2 linked regions of the Sus scrofa genome follow. The protein of the gene in region 1 purifies or fractionates together with the protein of each later gene. This does not show direct contact. Links are inferred from orthologs where the notes say so. Each region holds a gene or a part of one and is shown on either strand. Other genes may lie near its edges. The genes, in order: NDEL1 and DYNC1I1.

Region 1 (4,397 bases):
AGGGGTGTTTTGAAGACTGAGTTAGTATTTGCACGTACTTAGTACAGAGTCTAGCACACAGTAAACACAGCATAAATTTTATTATTTTAAAAAACTGTGGTTCAGTTGCTGACCTCTGAAGTACAACCACAAAATAAATGCGCTTCAGAATTTATAACAAATGACTCCTTAAAATTAATCACTTCTGGAAGCTATGTGCATATTTCAGTGATACCACCATTACTGAAAACATTTCTACAATCTCTTTAGAAATAGCCTTAATGAACTAGATTAAAAACTAAACAAAAAGCTCTTTCTTTGTGGTCCCACCTCGCTTCAACTGCTTCCTAATATCATCCAGCTTTATCACTCTAATCACGCTAATTTTATTCATCAGATTTATTCTTTCCAAAAATCAGATTTTTTTTTTTTTTTTTTACAGATAACAAAAATGTGCTGCCACTGCAGATATTCAAAAGATGTTCTCAGGGGCAATAAAGACAATCTGTTCATTTTGCTTCAAGTTACAGCAGGAGGATGTGTTCACTGTGTTATCTGAAACTTTGTAACTGGAGATATCAGGCTATAGAGAGTTGGCCAACACAGAAAACTACACTGCTAAAAACAAATAAATAAATAAATTAGCTTTAATGACACATCTATAATCTTGAAGCTGAAATGAGGGTAGATGATCATATACTCTTTGCCGATACCCAATCTTCCCTCAACGCCACGTCTCATGGATGGGGCGTCTCATGGATGGGGCGTGACCCCGAAACAACTCTTACCTGGGTCATTAGCATACGGTATATGACCTTCAGCTGTCTGGCAGCTGACAAATCAACTCATTACGGCATAAAACAGCCTTTCAAAATGCTGTATTTACAAAGAAACTATTCTTTGTGCAATGGTAAGAAAATTCATTTTATATGAACTGTCTCTTTGTTGATCGTTGCAGAATGGACTCCTGAGGCTGGAAAAGTTCTTCTGGAATTCACCGTAGATAATAAATACCTTTTTACGAAATTCTTCTACTTCTCCCAAAAGTAACAATTACAGAATTTCAAACTTTTCAAAGTTGAGCATAAATATGGTCTCCCTCTTGGTCCTGACTTATTTTTCTACCTTATAAAGAGCAAAAACTTATGTCAGAAGTAATTTTAAGCTTTAGTAACCAAATTTACCCCAGCATGACTTAACATGAAAATAAAAATAAGTGTTGGAGAGATCATGAAAGCAACATCTAAGTTTTTACTGAGGTTTCTACTTATTTTAAGCATTCCTCACCCAATTTCAATTTATTTAATTAAAAAAACCTAAACAGGGAATTCCAGAGCAGTAGCGTAGTTAGATTTGGGGCTTTCACCTGTGGCCTGGGGTCAATCCCTGGTCTGGGAACTGAGATCCCACATCAAGCCACTGCACACCACAGCCAAAAACAAAAAATTTACGCCAAAACAGGAAAAAAAAAAAAAGCTTCATAAGATTTAGCAACTTCTATCTGAATCAGGTCAATGTGAAACCAGGGCTGGCCAAAGGGGGGATTTTGTTCCTTATGACATCTGATTTTAAACAACTTAATAAAAATTCAGAGGAAATATTTTAGTTCCCTTTTATTCTCTTCAACACGACTTAATGCTGCATTTTACCCCCCCAACTTCATGACTTAGCAAAGCCATTACCCTCTTTCATAAACAAATTAAAAGCAACACAACTTATCAGACAAAATAATTAGCCAACCGTGGACAAGTTTCAGCGTAGGATTTTTCTTAAAACTGAGCAGCAATCCTCATCCTAGGTGGGTCTGCTGAAAAAAATTTGAATAAATCTTCTACTAGCTTCTGGTATAGTTCTGGCAAGTCAAATTTACTATTTTGCTCTCCAGCTGAGAAGGATGTAAAAATCTCACGGAAAGAAACCACAACTCCAGGCAGGGAGACGCAAATTCTGAACCAAGAGAAGCCTCTCACTGGTTGGTGGAATCCACAGAATAAATCACCAAAACCCCCACCCGACCTGGTCTCAATTTCTCTATGGGTAGAATCACAGACAACCACTAACGAGGTGATGAGGTTCAAAGCCGAGATAACAAGGGTGTTCTCAAACGTGTAAAGGCGCCTAGAGAAACGTAATGAAATTATCCGTGAAGCACCCTCAATTCCCAGGCAAACCTTAAAAGGGTCACTTCGTTGCTTACCAGCTAAAAAACAAAGGCGAGTACAAGCAACCCGAACCCGTTTGGTGACACTTTCCTGAACTCCGAGAGGGGTAATTAGCAGTTCGGAGCTGGCAATCACAGGAATGCCACCGGAGCTCAAGGTGGGCAGCTTCCGCTCTCGCCCCCCGTGGGAGAGAAGCAACGAGAATTCAGAATCCAACCTGGCTCCGAACCACCCTCCAGATGAAGGGATGCGGGATGGGGGCTGGGGAGGGGGAGGGCTGGGCGCGCCGCTGCCACCTCCAGCGGAGCCACCCCTTGCGCGACCAGCTTCCCGGCCCACGGTGCCACGTCCCGGCCTCCGTCCCCGCCATCCCTCACCCCACCCCCGGATGCGGGCACATCCTCCGGAGGCCGCCCGGCTCGCTCCCTTCCAGGCGCCCCAGGTGGGCCACACCTCGGACCAGGGCGGGGAGGGGGCAGTTAGAGCGGTTGAAACAGTTGGCCCCGGACTGGCCGCCCCAGAACCCGGGCCCGGCCCAGCCCGGCGGGGGCTCGGACACAGCCCCCGGGGCTGGCAGGCTCCGCGGGGACAGGCCTCGGCGCCGTCGGCCGGGTCCGGCGCCCTCGGGAGCGGCCCCGCACGGCAGGCTCACCTCCAATGTGTCAAAAGCGCATGTTCGCCACCGCTCGACCGACGTCTCCGCTCCGCTGGCCTGGCCAGGCCCGCCCAGCCGCTCGGCTCCGCTCCCCGCCGCAGTCCTGAGCTCCACTCCGCGCACCTCCGCGCCCGGCTCCTCCCCGACACGTCAGAGGCTGCCTGGGTGTCCGAGGCCATTCTGTGACGCACGGGGGCGGGGCCCGAGCATGCGCACGAGCGCGCGGGCGGCTAGGGCGGGGCTGTGGCAGGGATGGCGTCACACGGGGCCGGGCCGGGCCGGCGCGCTGACGTCAGGCTGGCGGAGGCCTTCTGCGCAGGCGCCCCGGGCCCGCGCGGCGTGCCGTTTACGACTTTCGCGGGTCCCCGGAAAGACTCTGCGTTCCGGAAAGTGGCACTACCGTAGATGAGAACCCGCCTCCCAGTTTTCATCCACCAAACCCTACAAGTGTCTGTTTCGGGGTTCCCGTTTGAAAGAAGAATCTCGGCTCAGATCTCACATCCGAGTCCACCCCGACCACCCAATACCGTACCAGGTGTATTCTAGCACCGTCACACTCTCACACGGAGCTATGTCGGTTTAAGGGCACGTCCACTAGCTGAAATTTTATGCTACTTCTTGTCTTCCTCCAGTAAGATGTAAGTTCCATGAGAACCGGAACCTCATTCCTTGCTTATCCCAGCAGATAGCTTGGTCCCAGGGTGGGTGCTCAGATATTTGTTGAATGAGTGAATGGATTCATTGAGGGCACCAAGGGAATATAAATATATCCATGTATATGTACATATGTGCGTACGTGTTTTCATCCCTTCAGGGCCCCCAACTAATGGAATCCATATATATGTACATCCCCTAGGAGACTTGGAGAAGAAGACTTGGGGGTGTGGAGGGAGAAGGTGGGGAGAGACTGGCTCAGAAAGGAGAGAAATGAAGGGCAGCTGATTAGTGTGTGGAAACTTGGAGAAAGAGAAGTGTTTTAAAAGCAATTTTAGGAACTTTGGACGTTTCACGTACCCTGTAATTCTCTTATGTCAGTGCTCTTGGGACTGGATTTGTGGGGCTTTTGGACACAATGATGTGTTGGTACGAGCCTCAAGGCATGGACATAAAGGGGAACAGCACAAAATGGATTCTAAGAGATGTCCAGTGAAAATCTGAAAAGTGATTTGGGGTGTTAGAAAGTATGGAACTTTGAGTTAGACTCTGAAGGAGAGCAGGTTGAACAGTTTACTTTTGCTGTGCCCTTTGTATGTACTGGCAGGTGTGCCAAAGGCTTTGTCTGCATAATTCAATTCTCACAATAACCCCATGAGATAGGTACTGTTATTATTCCCATTTTACCAATGAGGAAACCGAGACTAAGCGAGATGAAGTTGCCCAATGTCACTCAACTAGAAAAAGGAGTTTTCGGAGTTCCCTTCGTGGCTCAGTGGTTGACGAATCCGACTAGGAACCATGAGGTTGCGGGTTCAATCCCCAGCCTTGCTCAGTGAGTTAAGGATCTGGCGTTGCCGTGAGCTGTGGTGTAGGTCACAGACACAGCTCAGATCCCGCGTCTCTGTGGCTCTGGCGTAGGCCAGTGGCTACAGCTCCAATTCGAC
Region 2 (4,316 bases), on another chromosome or scaffold:
TTTTTTTTTTTTTCTATTGAGGTATAGTTGACATACAAACTTGGGTCTCTTTGCCATGGCATAATAAAGCCAATCTACTGACAGGGGGTTGTGGTGAGGGAAAGCTCAGCCATCTGTTGTAAGGCACCATCCTAGTCGTCTAGCGCTCAATCAACACTCTGGAACAGCTGGAACTCTCCAGTGGGTTTCAGCAAAGTGTTTTTAAAGGCAAGGTGAGGGAGAGGAGCCCCAGGATGCACGATCAGGTCATGCATAATTCTCTGATGGGTTAATGTTGAGGTAACGGCCTTGTCACAGGGTTAAGATAATCAGTCCTTAAACTCCAGAAGGCCTAAGGGCTATATGCTCATAGTCATCAAGTAGTTAATGTCTTCCACTTGGGAGTTTTAGCATCTGTAAAACAACTCAGGAAAAATGCATTAGGTACTGTTATCTAGGTACTTCAGAGAAGAGCTAAAGGAGAGGATATGGAGGAGGGGTGTATCCCTGGAAGCCTCATAGGGTTCTGCTTATACAATGCCATATACTATAGAGGTACAGTATAGTGGTTTTCACCATTTTTAAAGGTATACTCCATTTACACTTATTATAAAAATTGACTATATTCCCTATGTTGTACACCATATCCTTGTAGCTTATTTTATACATACTAGTTCCTACCTCTTTATCCCCTACTCCTTGCCCCCCCCACCACTAATTTGTTCTGTGAATCTCTTTCTTTTTTGTTATATTCACTAGTTGGTTTTGTTTTTTCCACCTACTACTGATATTATACAGTATTTGGTTTTTTTCGACTTGTTTCACTTATATGGAGAATATTAGGTTGCCCAACTTTTAAAAGCTGGGACTTTAAGAAGCAATGTGGTAGAGTCAAGCTAAATATATATTTTTTTTCTTCTGGGAAAACCTAAGGATAAATCTATAAGTCTTTGTGTGCAGCAGATGGATCTGAGCTTTTCTGACTTCTATTTAAATAACCTAAGTAGTTGTCAGGGAGTGAAAGTTGTTCCATGCTAGCCTGTCAGCAGGAGCTCCCAAAATACCAAAGCTCTTCCGTTAGCAGCCAATTAGGTGAGTCCTACCCGTGGCATAGGGATAGATGGAGAGACTCCCCAGGTCCCTTGCTCTCATCCGCTTCTGGACCAGCGCCACTCGCTCCCAGCTGAGACCGGGTGCGGAGGGCCCTCCCGCAGGAGGAGCGCGGGGCGTGGAGGGCGTGGGCAAGGGGCGGGGCGAGTCCCAGACTGGGTGCTCCCAGGGAGCTGTCAGTGGCAGGCTGGGGAAAGGAAGTGCTAGGTCCCGGAGGAGCTCGAGCTGAGCGGCCGGCGCAGCGTGAGACAGCACATCCTGCGCGGCCGGGCCCGCCGCCCTCGGGAAACGCTCGGGCGCCCGCGCCGCCGCCGCTCTCGCGAACCCAGTTCCGCCGCGGCAGCCGGCGTGCAGGTAAACGGAAGGGGGGCGGCGGGGGAGGGGGTCAGTGCGCTCCGGACCGCCGCCTACGCGCCCCTCCGCAGCCCTCCCCTCCCCGGGGTCTTGGGCTCTGGAGCCGCGGGGCAGCGGTAGTGCTGCTGCCGCCGCAGCCGACCTTGTCCCCTCCGAATCTTGGGCTCCTGCGTGCTCCGCGGCGCCCGAAAGCAGCCAGAGCTCCCCAGCGGCCGCCCCCTGCTGCAGCTCCTCTGGCAGAGCCGCGAGGCGAGGGCAGAGGAGAGAGTCGTGGTGTCATCACCTTGTCGCCCACCTTGCGGACTGGCAGAGGCGTCCCAGTGCGCCCCGCCTCGGGTTTCGCTTGGGGAGCAGAAGGCTCGCGGCAGTGAAATCCGCACCCCTCTGGGCCAACAGCTGACGGCCCCTGGGGGAGGGGGAAGCTGCAGTGGGAGGGGAGTGGATGCTGTTGGAGTATGTTTTCAGCTGTCTGCAAAGCTCAAAGATGCTGTTGCTACCCGCCAAGTGGAGGGAAGCGAATGCACTTCCAGCAAGGCATTAATTAAACGCTCAACGCCAGAAGGTGCCAGTTTTTCTTAACTGCTGCAAAAAAAAAAAAAAAAAAAAAAAAAAAGTGTGGCTGGGGGATGTGTTTTAGTAAACACCTTCGGGGCCCCTTGGCTCTCCTTCCCCCACTCCCACTCCCACTCCCGCATCGCCCTGGCCTTATAAGTCTGTGCGTCGTCATCGTAGGGGCAGTGATTCTGGTGGCGCTGATGGGAACTGAGTGTGCGGGAGTCTCATGACTTGTAATGAGAACAGAAACCCAGGATCAGGACAGGAAATTACTTAGGAAATCAGAGACTCAACCAAATGCAAGAGACGGAAAATTATTCGTTATCCTAGCCACTCCCACGTTTAGGTTAAGGGGCAGATCAAGTAGCCAGCCATTTTCTTGCCCGAAATGCCTTTTAAGTGGGCACTGTAGATTTACTGTAGTTCAGGGTGTGCAGAATTGCTTCCAAATATTCCAGATTAGCAGAGAGCACAAGTATCAGTGAGGCATGGTAACTGCAGAAAGACATCATAGGCTAATATTAGCACAGTTAGGGGTGACTGCCTCTGTACACATTTTCATTGTGGGAATCAGTAAATTTGAAGTTTGCTTTCAGTTCAAGTTGCATCCTGAGGGTATCTAGTGGGGGTGTGATTAATAATTTCTCTGATTATATAAAATGCCAGATTTTCTCCCAAAGTTTTGGCATGGCAAAAAAGGACCCAAACTCTGCTCTTCTATGTTTCTTGATAAAATAAAATCATATACCCCTACCACTAAGTCATCGAAGAACCAGGGAGTCACAGGAACCAACCCCTCAATCTTAAGGTTTGAGGATGCAATGCCCAGAGCCATTTCTTTTAAAAATCTCCTACCATAGTTATTGATATGTTTAGATAATACAGTTGGGGGCCCGATGCATGTTTTTTTCAGCCTTTTCAGCTCTGGGACCAGGTTTTAGCCCCAAATATCTTCCACATCCCTCTTTTTCTTCCCTATCATGACGGGCCTCAGGCGCCTATGCTCCTGCTTCCTCTCCCCTCAGAGGTCAGGGTTGCTGAGCCTCTGCTGTGCCAAGCCCTGGGTGTGCTTCAGCCCTTCCCCACACCCAGCTTTTCCTCCTCGCCTACCAAAAACATGTCCTGAAGCATTTTTGGTATTAAAGATGTACACCATTAGGTAGGTATCACTAAGGATATGGGCAGAGAAAATAAGTCAACCCACAGGAAAATGGGTCAGAGTGCCTGCAGTGGCGGTCCCTGTTCCCTAGTTGCTAATGAACTGAGAAGGCAAGAGAAAGTTACCAGGTGTTTCTCTCATCATGTTTCATGTCTAAGAGGGAGCTCTATGAACTTTCTTCCCACCCCTTCTACTCCCCCAAACACTGTTTCCAGCGTCAACATTTAATAAATGAGTGTTTCCTTGACTCCAGTGCTGAGTCAAGTAATTCTTGGAGACCCAGCCTGGTTGCTGCCCTGTTCATACTCAGAAGGGCCATGTAGGACAGTCTTATAAGATGTATGCCAAGTTTTTAAACCTAGTGACATCTCTTAGCACAGAAGGTGTACACAGGCTTCATCAACATTTATTTATCTCAATGAGCCACTCATCCTCTCTGATTACCTTATTTCTTTCTGTCACCTTAGAGCATCAGATGAAAAGGTCACAAACATCCACTGCAAACTTAATTGTACTCTCTCATCACCTTGTTTTCCCTATACTTTGCCTCATCAAGTAAAACAAAAGTTGATAGTAATATACTGAGCACTTCAGCAGTGCTCAATATATCTACTAAATATATTGCACTGCCCTTGCTAAATGTTACATTTACTAAAATATATTGAGCACTTGACCAGGCATTGCATTTTAAACTACTTCTTATGTATTAATTTATTTAATCTCACAAAAATCTGATGAATTAGAGGTTATTTGTAATCCAGTTTGACAGGCGAGGAAATTAAGACACTTAGAATATCAACTTCCTGAAAAATTTTAAGCTGATAAGCTGTAAAGCCAGGATTTGAATCCAGGCAGTTTGACTCTACTCTTCTTTCTTTTATGGTGATCTTTATTTATTTATTTGCTTATTTATTGCTTTTGAACTATAGTTGAATTACAATATTGTGTTAATTTTACCAAAGTGATTCAGTTATATATATATAGAGAGAGAGTATAGTTCCCTGTGCTATACAGTAGGTCTTTGTTATCTATCCTTTATATAGTAGTGTGTATATGTTAATCCCAACCTCCTAATTTATCCTTCCTCCCCATCTTTCCCCTTGGGTGACCATAAGTTTGTTTTCTATGTCTGCTGGTCTGTTTCTGTTTTGTATATAAG

What was found.
Region 2: the proteins of NDEL1 (region 1) and DYNC1I1 purify together in Homo sapiens (affinity purification with western blotting; 3 studies listed by BioGRID and IntAct, with this or other methods). This does not show direct contact. The link is inferred for Sus scrofa from reciprocal best matches to the Homo sapiens genes NDEL1 and DYNC1I1.

The regions. Positions count from the first base shown.
Region 1 is NC_010454.4:53,600,381-53,604,777, reverse strand, and holds the start of NDEL1 (nuclear distribution protein nudE-like 1), read right to left. Parts: upstream 2,975-4,397; 5' UTR 2,794-2,974; intron 1-2,793. UniProt on the Homo sapiens protein: Required for organization of the cellular microtubule array and microtubule anchoring at the centrosome. May regulate microtubule organization at least in part by targeting the microtubule severing protein KATNA1 to the centrosome.
Region 2 is NC_010451.4:75,413,514-75,417,829, forward strand, and holds the start of DYNC1I1 (cytoplasmic dynein 1 intermediate chain 1), read left to right. Parts: upstream 1-1,267; 5' UTR 1,268-1,443; intron 1,444-4,316. UniProt on the Homo sapiens protein: Acts as one of several non-catalytic accessory components of the cytoplasmic dynein 1 complex that are thought to be involved in linking dynein to cargos and to adapter proteins that regulate dynein function.